Daphnia pulex: one gene and its partner. The protein of the gene in region 2 interacts with the protein of the main gene of each other region in a biochemical or structural test. Links are inferred from orthologs where the notes say so. Each region holds a gene or a part of one and is shown on either strand. Other genes may lie near its edges.

Evidence for each region.
Region 1: of the proteins of serine/threonine-protein kinase mTOR-like (region 2) and repressor of RNA polymerase III transcription MAF1 homolog, one has a biochemical effect on the other in vitro, tested with the Homo sapiens proteins (2 studies listed by BioGRID and IntAct). The link is inferred for Daphnia pulex from reciprocal best matches to the Homo sapiens genes MTOR and MAF1.

What each region holds. Positions count from the first base shown.
Region 1 is NC_060026.1:7,367,805-7,371,964, forward strand, and holds repressor of RNA polymerase III transcription MAF1 homolog, read right to left. Parts: upstream 2,628-4,160; 5' UTR 2,090-2,627; coding exon 2,007-2,089; intron 1,766-2,006; coding exon 1,607-1,765; intron 1,542-1,606; coding exon 1,385-1,541; intron 1,327-1,384; coding exon 1,199-1,326; intron 1,140-1,198; coding exon 1,020-1,139; intron 961-1,019; coding exon 897-960; 3' UTR 567-896; downstream 1-566. UniProt on the Homo sapiens protein: Plays a role in the repression of RNA polymerase III-mediated transcription in response to changing nutritional, environmental and cellular stress conditions to balance the production of highly abundant tRNAs, 5S rRNA, and other small non-coding RNAs with cell growth and maintenance.
Region 2 is NC_060027.1:5,105,905-5,110,396, forward strand, and holds the start of serine/threonine-protein kinase mTOR-like, read left to right. Parts: upstream 1-1,451; 5' UTR 1,452-1,664; intron 1,665-1,780; 5' UTR 1,781-1,787; coding exon 1,788-1,880; intron 1,881-1,958; coding exon 1,959-2,225; intron 2,226-2,308; coding exon 2,309-2,407; intron 2,408-2,472; coding exon 2,473-2,666; intron 2,667-2,725; coding exon 2,726-2,921; intron 2,922-2,987; coding exon 2,988-3,149; intron 3,150-3,210; coding exon 3,211-3,380; intron 3,381-3,442; coding exon 3,443-3,614; intron 3,615-3,677; coding exon 3,678-3,948; intron 3,949-4,021; coding exon 4,022-4,141; intron 4,142-4,218; coding exon 4,219-4,492. Other genes in the region: RING finger and SPRY domain-containing protein 1-like, read right to left, coding at 57-197, 258-324, 383-568, 632-797, 855-1,093. UniProt on the Homo sapiens protein: Serine/threonine protein kinase which is a central regulator of cellular metabolism, growth and survival in response to hormones, growth factors, nutrients, energy and stress signals.

The DNA of each region.
Region 1 (4,160 bases), on a different chromosome or scaffold from region 2:
AACTAGATAACAGGTGATGCATCAGTGGAAAATAAAGTTCCTAAAGCTAAAGAGCAAACAATTTTTATTTACTTACTTACGTGTAGCATTTTTCTCAACTATTCCTTTTTGTCTTTGATTAAATAAAAAATGTATGGAAGGCATTGTGAACTCATGTCATTATGGCGCTGCAGCGTTTAAAATCTAGTTCTTCGGCCTCACATTTTAACCTGAAAAAAATTTCTGAAAAATGGTATTTACTAAAAAATGAGTTAGCAGTGAATGGATTAGTTATTTAATTTGTTTAAAGTATTTCATAGAGTATTCGGGTGTGAGCATCGGCAGCCTACATTCGATGCAAAAGTAGAAGTTCAAATCAAAAATGATAAGCGCCGATTGCAACTGTCTTCAAAAAAGGAGATCATACCTTCGTTATTTTGACATTTTCGTATCCATAACCAAACAATACAAAGAATTCAATTCTCCCCCCCCCCCTTTAGATGACGTAATTTAATGTTGCTGTTTTTCCTAATTAGTCGCTTTCGGCCATGCATAAAAGGAAACTCCGGATGCTCAGGAACACAATATAAAGGTAAATATGATTCCGTGTATTCGTATGCGACGCAGTTCGGAAGAAAAAAAAAGAAAAAACATTTATTACATCGTTTTCTTTTTTAAATTAAAGTAAAGACAGGTCTCCGGAGGAAGGATTTCCCGGAAGAAATGCTGACGTGCGACAGACGATCGAACTACTGAGAAAAATCTGATCGAGGTACGCCACTAAAAAATCTTGGACGTCTTATTTTGTAAAATTTCTATGTGTAAACATAAATCGAACGTCTACTTTTGACGACTAATGTAATTAAAACATTGAAATTGGCGTCGTAGTTCTGCTTTGTTGGCTGTTTGCTCCCACTTTATAGGAAGGCCTCTTCATCCATCATGAATTCCGCACCGCAACTCAGATCCATGTGGCTTAAACTAAAGATGTAACATTTTAGATATAACTGAATATCAATAATTTCTTCGAGATTATTTACCTGACAGCTCTGCAAGTTAAAAAAACAATGCGCTTTAGTTTCCGGTTGTAGAAAAAATAATTATAAGACCACAATGAACCATCTTCACCAAAGGGATCTGACGCCAGATCCGAATTGTAACTGCACAAAAATGATCAATATAAAATACCGAAGCATACTTCAATAAATCTTGAACGAACCTATAGATGTCGCATTCGGGCAAATTGATTTCATCGTTAATGGCAGCCCACAGCTGAGCATGTAATTTGGAATTGTAGAGATCTCCAGCTGTAGCACTCAAATTGTTATCGACTGCATTCATTACCCACTAAAAAGTTAAATTGGTTTAAGAAAGACTACGATAGCGAAATAATAAAAATTTTTACTTGAATCGATCGTTCGCGACTAAATTCTTCACTGCGAGCATAAGAAAAATCATAGTCTGGATGAAACGAAGCATTTAGTGTGGCGATAAGATAAAATAACGTTTTGCGGCTTATTGTGTCACATAACGGGCCTTCTTCATCTCCTGAAACGCTGCAACTAAATAGAAAATGTCGTATGTCTAATGACTCGTACTATTTTTTTTTTTAAAAAGCTCAATGCACCTTTGATTACTGAAATAACCTCCTGTTGGGGAAACAGCAAGCGCAGTTTGAGGAGCTGATAATACTTGAAGATCGTGCGGACCAGCACCGGCCTCTGAATGGAAACGCTTATACAGTTGTTTTTCATGTCCTGCCAATTTGCATGAATAGCTTTCAATCCTGCAATAAAGCAATTTTACTATTAGGTCAACACAGAGATCCAAATTTTGCAGAAATATGCATGGCAACCAGTCCCGGCTTTCTGATTGGTTGCTGAGGAAGCCAATGAAAGTGGCGACCTTGTTGCTTAGAAACAAACAATGAGCAAGTGCTTAAAATGTAAATATGAAAAAAATGTGGAAATAATACATATTTTATAGACTTAAAAAATGGGAATTAATTTTACTTTTCTATTCATTACCTTCCAATAATGTTGCAGTCTCCAGTGAACATATTAAGAGCAGAGTTAACTTGCTCAAAGCGACTACTCTCTAAAAGCTTCATCTTTCACTAATGATTTGTACTTTGCTTTAAAAACAACTTTGGGAAATAAGTCACTCACAGAACCAACAGCAGTTTAAACTTTAGTTTCTTAAAACACTTCGTGGATGACAGAAAACACCTTTTTTTGTGAACAAACTGACTGTTTCCATGACACAAAACCAATGTGTCAGTGCTAGGGTCACTTCTGACGTATAATTTTCAGTATAGATTCTTGAATTATGTCTACTGAATGATCTCAACATTGAAGGTTTTCACTACAAAAACGAACTCTTTGTAGTTTAACCCAGGAGATGAGATCACTTGATAAGCAAACAAGCACAGGTTCACAAATTGAAATAAAGAGGTGTAGTAAACCGCCTGTGCAATGCTGCTTTTACTTGGTAAAACTCAGCACAACGCCTTATAACTAGAAACCAATTTCTTTAAAGAATTATTTACGGATAGGAACAGGCAAACTACGCAGTTAACAAAAAAGGTTTGGTCTCTGATATTTGTTGACGGTTTTTTGTTAGGGTAGGGGTTCTTTGTTCTATTCCACACAGCGTTGCCAATTTCGATTATTTCGCAATCGCACTAGAAATTTCTTTTTGGATGCGGTACGCGGACCGCGGTACGTCTCCTGCGTTCCTGCGGACGTCACCGGAGTCACGAGTTAGTGTATTTTGCATATTCTTTACAATGCGTAAAAATAAACTAAATTTGGAGCCAATTTTTGAGTTAAGATTTCGTGTGCACAGAATAAACATCAAACTGATTCATTATGAGAAATAAGAAGACCGCTTTCCGTCCATGCAGGTCTAGTCTGAATTGTGAACATGATAAAAAAAACTATAGGTTTTGTTAATTGAATTACTGTAATACTGTAAATGGCACATATTGTCATTGAATTAGTGATATGTAATAGGCCGCGTGTCCGCCAATATTTTTTTTTTTTGAATTGCCTTGAATATACATACAGATTTTTAGAATCAGGTAGGCCTATAATAAGTCTTGCATAGAAAAAAACCATCTGTAACTGACATAAGTAAATGACTCTTCGTCATTTATACTGATGTATACCCCACTCTCCTTGGCTTCTGCGCTTCTCCCTAAAAATCTTAAACTGATCTAGTGATCTTGTTATTAGCAGTTATTAGTTCATCTCTAAAATTTCAGAGTATCGCAGTCTGTTGGTTACTTTAGAAATGGGTATGGAGAGATGGTTGCCAGTCTCCATGTTAAATTTCCCATAAGGGGTCGTCCGCTCATTTTACTAAAAGGTCTCTTTGTATGTCCATATGCCGCAACAGCCTAGATGGCATTGATTCAAAGGGGCCTCCGTATCATGCCCATACAAATGCCGTACAAATGTCGCTAGTAAAAAAGTAGCTTCCCTTCGAGTCCCCTTATGGGAAATTTAACATGGTTATTGGCAACCATCTCTCCATACCCCTGCTTTAGATGGATTTTGATGTACAAATCAAGAAATTCTCTATCTGGAAATTAAAAACCCCATTTATTCATTTAAATTGAACTCGTTAGGTGCTATTTAAATAATATTTTGTTTTTTCTCAAATTTTTCGTTTATTTATTTTCGGACTTAAAAAAATTAAGCAACTGTAGTCCGAATAAACAGTGGCAACGTCGCATCGTAGCCACAAAATTCAAATTCTCTATGGCAGATGGCAGACTTGCATTTTCGCAAATAAAAATACGTATATACTTATATTTTCATTAATATTTTCGAGGTCTGCACGTTCTGCATGCCCTTTGTTTGAAAATGACCCCAAACCGTCACAAGGGCTCTCGGATTTTGAATTGTTGTGTCTTTGCTGCGCTTGTCTAAGGTTTCTCTTAAAATATTGAAAAATCTATAAAAAAAATTTATTCCATCAACCTTACACAAATCAAATGTCAAAAACATCATGACACATCTAAATGTTAAAAATCAACTGCAAAAGCCTTAGCGCCAACTGCCACCTATAGTGATTTTGCTAACTAGTCATTTTTTATGAATCCTGTTGATGCGTTTCCTCGATCATGTAACAAGATTGGTGTACCATTGTGGTGTTCGAACATGTATTACTGATTT
Region 2 (4,492 bases):
ATTCAAAATTAAGGTTCATTCAAACGTGTGATAAAGAGTTTTAAAAAAATGCATACATAGATTATCAAGACACCATTCAGAACAGAATCCAACTTGACGTTTCATGTAATCGTCGGTCGATTTCCATTTTTCCAACACCAAAAGTGGATGCTGGGTTTCTTGGTGGAATCTTTTATTGAGAGCAATTTTGTTTTCACCTAAATAGAAGAAAAATGAGAAACAAATCCTACAAACTAGTTATAATTATTATTTTTTACTTGTTTGAGCAAATTTCTCAAGAGCAATTAATGAAAACAGTACTACTGGTGGGTGGTTTGATGGATCCTAAAAGATATACATTGTTGAAAATAAAGTGAGACCAAAGATTGATTGTCAGACATACCAGGTTGGCTATAAGGTAATCCAATGTGCTGTCAGTTAGCAAAGCAACACTTGTAGGCCCAGCCAATTTTTCAGCAATGCAGCCCAATGCAATACAAATATTCCTGTGACGATTAGGATCTGATCTTCCCCTTTTACTAGCTTTAGCTGACAGCCAAAACATCCGGGGGACTTTAGTAATGGAATCCTGAAAAAAAAATGGTGAAAATTTAACCTAGCAACAATGTCTAACATATGATTAAAATCTTACCTTTGCTGGTAAGGCACAGTCATCTAGCACCAGAGTGATGACAGCAGGTCCAAGGGGTTCATTAATGGGTATTACATTAACCATGGAATGTAGAACAAGCAACCAACCATGCCCTTTGTTAGAAAGAGCTTGTAATCTTAACATTGAAGGAGGTGTTTCTTGATCACTAAACAAAGAAGGAATAATTAAAGTGGATACATAGGAACATATAATAAAAACATACTTTTCAACTAAATTTCCTATGACAGCTAATGTCTGCAAAACAAGACTGTCAATATGGGGTAGCATTCGCCTCAAGTGTGAGGCCTCAGATGCTGGTATAACATGAGATGGGAAACTTCTGTCTCTATCAACTGAAATATTAGATTGCAGTGGACTTGGGAGGCTGGCAGTTTCTGGTTGAGGCACTGAGAGAGAGGGTAGTTCCCCATCCTTTTCGTCACAACATAAGCATTGTCCCATTTTTAACTGCTTCAGTGGAAATTAAATTTGAACATGTTATTTGAGAGAGATCGTCACTATTCAAACGTGCAATTTGATCTCCATCTTAGTTAAGTTTATAAGTGGGTGTATATGGATTGACCAGGAATGGATTTGACGTTGTTCAACAATTAATTTCAGTAGCACTATTTAACCATGTTATAAATATGGATGGTAATCTAGTATTGAGAAATTCGATGAAAAAGGTATCGTCTGCTGCTTATAACGCGAACATAGATATCCGCTAGGGGCGCTTATAGGAGAGCCATCCTTTCACCGGACATCTAATAGTATCTAATGCCTAATGAGGAGTAACACAATTTGGAGTTTTCTTTTTCTTCCGTCAGATGTCGAAGTCCACAAGTTTGTTTATTAAAATAAGTCATACTGATACTGTAAAGTCTAATTAGTAATTACACGTTGTGGAATTCGCGTATTGCATATTCTTTTTAAAATAAGGCTTATCTTTTTTTGTCGAAGACAAAGAGTTATTTGATTGAATGGAAAAATAACATATAGTGTCCAATTTCAATTTTCGCTAGCGGGGTACGAGGTGATTGGCGACAGTTGACTTTGAATGTTTTCGAACTACTCCTTTGAGTTGTTGCTGATTATGCATTGAATTTATATCAACTGCTTCCTTTATTTTATCCTTTTTATTTATTTCAGTTACAGAATGGCAACCGGAATGATGCAAACATTCATCACTGGGCTTAGATCCAGAAGTGAAGATTTGAGACTAAAGGCTGCCCGAGATTTACACCATTATGTAAGAGAAGGATAAAGAGCTAAATGTTTAAGAAGGAAATAATATAGAATTGTTTTAATGTTGTCTTAATTTGTTTAGGTGACATCTGAGTTAAGAGAGGCATTGCAGGAAGATGTAATTTCATTTGTTGATGATTTGAATCACCATATATTTGACATGGTGTCCAGCTCAGATGTCAATGAAAAGAAAGGTGGCATTCTAGCCATAGTTAGTTTATTGCAAGTAGATGTTGGAAATACCAATGCCAGAATGACTAGATTTGCCAACTATTTGAAAAACTTACTTCCATCTCAGGATGTAGTTGTAATGGAGTTAACTGCAAGGGCACTTGGAAAATTGACACTGGCAAGTTAAACAAAAATCTAAATAGCCTCTACACATAATTAAAACAGATGATAAATATAGATATGCAATTTTTAATAAAACAGGTATCAGGAAGCTACACCGCGGAGTATGTGGAATTTGAAGTAAAACGAGCCTTTGAGTGGCTCAGTGGCGAGAGAAATGAAGGTCGTAGGCATGCAGCGGTAAGTTAAAAATAACATCATTAACGATATGTTGATACCATAAGTTTTAACTCAATTTCTCACAGGTGCTGGTTTTGCGAGAATTGGCTTTATCCATGCCAACTTTCTTTTTCCAGCAAGTCCAGACTTTTTTTGACGTTATTTTTTATGCTGTTCGGGACTCCAAACCAATGATTCGAGAAGGCGCAGTTGCTGCTTTACGCTCTGCTTTAGTCGTCACATCTCAGCGAGAAACTAAAGAAGCTCAAAAGCCTACTTGGTAATAAACAAGCTTGTACAAGTTTAACACATAAAGATATAGTATTAACCATTAATTAGGTATAAACAATGCTTTGACGAGGCCCAACAAGGTTTTGAGGAACCGTTAGCCAAAGATAAAGGACTAACAAAGGACGACAGAGCTCATGGATCTCTTTTGGTTCTTCAAGAGCTTCTACGTTGTTCGAATGCAGAGGGTGAACGACTTCTCGCTGAACTAGAGCAATTAAATTTACTACATTCACAGACTGTTCAGGTTGAATATGCCGATCTTTGTATGACCTGAGCAAATGCGATAATTCTCAATGATTTTTTACCAAAGGATTCTCTAATTTCTACAACTTCCCGAGTGTTGCCGAACGGTGCTGTTGAATTAATCAACACTCCTACACTTTACAATAATCTCCGGCTTTTGCCAGGGCATGTCGCTCAATCAAGGATAGCCAGCGCCGTGTCACCACTATCGATAGTTGCGCCCCAGCAGGTGATTTATAAAATTGATCGCAATACTTCCACTTACCTGAACGAATTTTCTATACAAACAGTACCCTATAGTTGAAAGCGCTGCATGCCGCCAATTGACTGCTGATCATTTTGATGAAATTTGTGCCAACACTCTTCGACATAGCATCTCAAAAAGCAGCCATGTACAAGCAGCTTTGATGGGAATTCTGCCTAGACTGGCTGCCTATGATCGAACCCGATTTTCTGATAGGTATTAAATTTTTGGAAAATTTCTTAAAATGACAAATGACCATACATACTTAATTTCCCCAGGTATTTGGGCCCTTCGATGAGCTACTTGATGGCGTGTTTGACCCGCAAAGAAAAAAATCCTCACCTTGCAATGATAACTATAGGTTATATAGCAGTGTGTATTGAAGGGGATATTGCCACACATCTCCCTGGCATTATTAGTTTTGTTCGGACTTCTCTACCTCAAAATAAAGTAGAGAAACTAAAGAGTGTAAAGAAGAAAAATTCTTTAATTTTCGAAACTTCTCCAAACTAGGACCCATCTTCTACCAAAAAACGCTCCAGTCCCCCTGATATTGCTGTTTTCGTCTGTCTAAGTCTGCTTGGCCGAGCCGTTGGTCGTTCTCATCTAACTAGTGAGTTCAAGGATCTACTGGATCCCATGCTGTCCGTTGGACTTAGTCCTGCCCTGACAACTTGTCTTCGTGAACTGGCCTTGAGAATTCCTCATCTTAAAAAAGACATTGCCGAAGGACTCTTGCGGATGCTTTCACTAGTTTTGATGCACCAACCACTTCGTCATCCAGGCATGGTTTTATTTTAAACAACGAATTTGGAAAAGTACATTCTACTTGAATTAATTTATCCATTCTATTTTAGGAATGCCAAAACATCATATGGCGCTCACTCCAGTGGCACTTCAACCACTACCATCGAATGGGGATGACGTCAATAGCATCGTTTTAGCTCTAAGAACGTTGGGGAGTTTTGATTTTCAAGGTTAAAAAACCAATTTATTTAAAATTCAATGAACGAGAGACGCAGATTTTTCAACATAATTTTGTTTGTGTCGCTAGGTCAACCACTACTTTTACAATTTGTTCGCCATTGTGCCGACAACTTTTTGTGCAGTGAGCAAAGGGCCATACGTCTTGAAGCTGTGCGAACATGCAGTCAGTTATTGAAATGTGCACTTCAGGAGTCAGTGAAATTAAAGAAAAAGCCATTGAGAAGCAGTGGAGTTCGCCTAGTTTCTGCTACGGTAGCTGAAGTCTTGAGTAAACTGCTCACCGCTGCCATCACGGATCCTGACGCTAGTGTCCGATACTGTGTTTTCGCGAGTCTCGATCC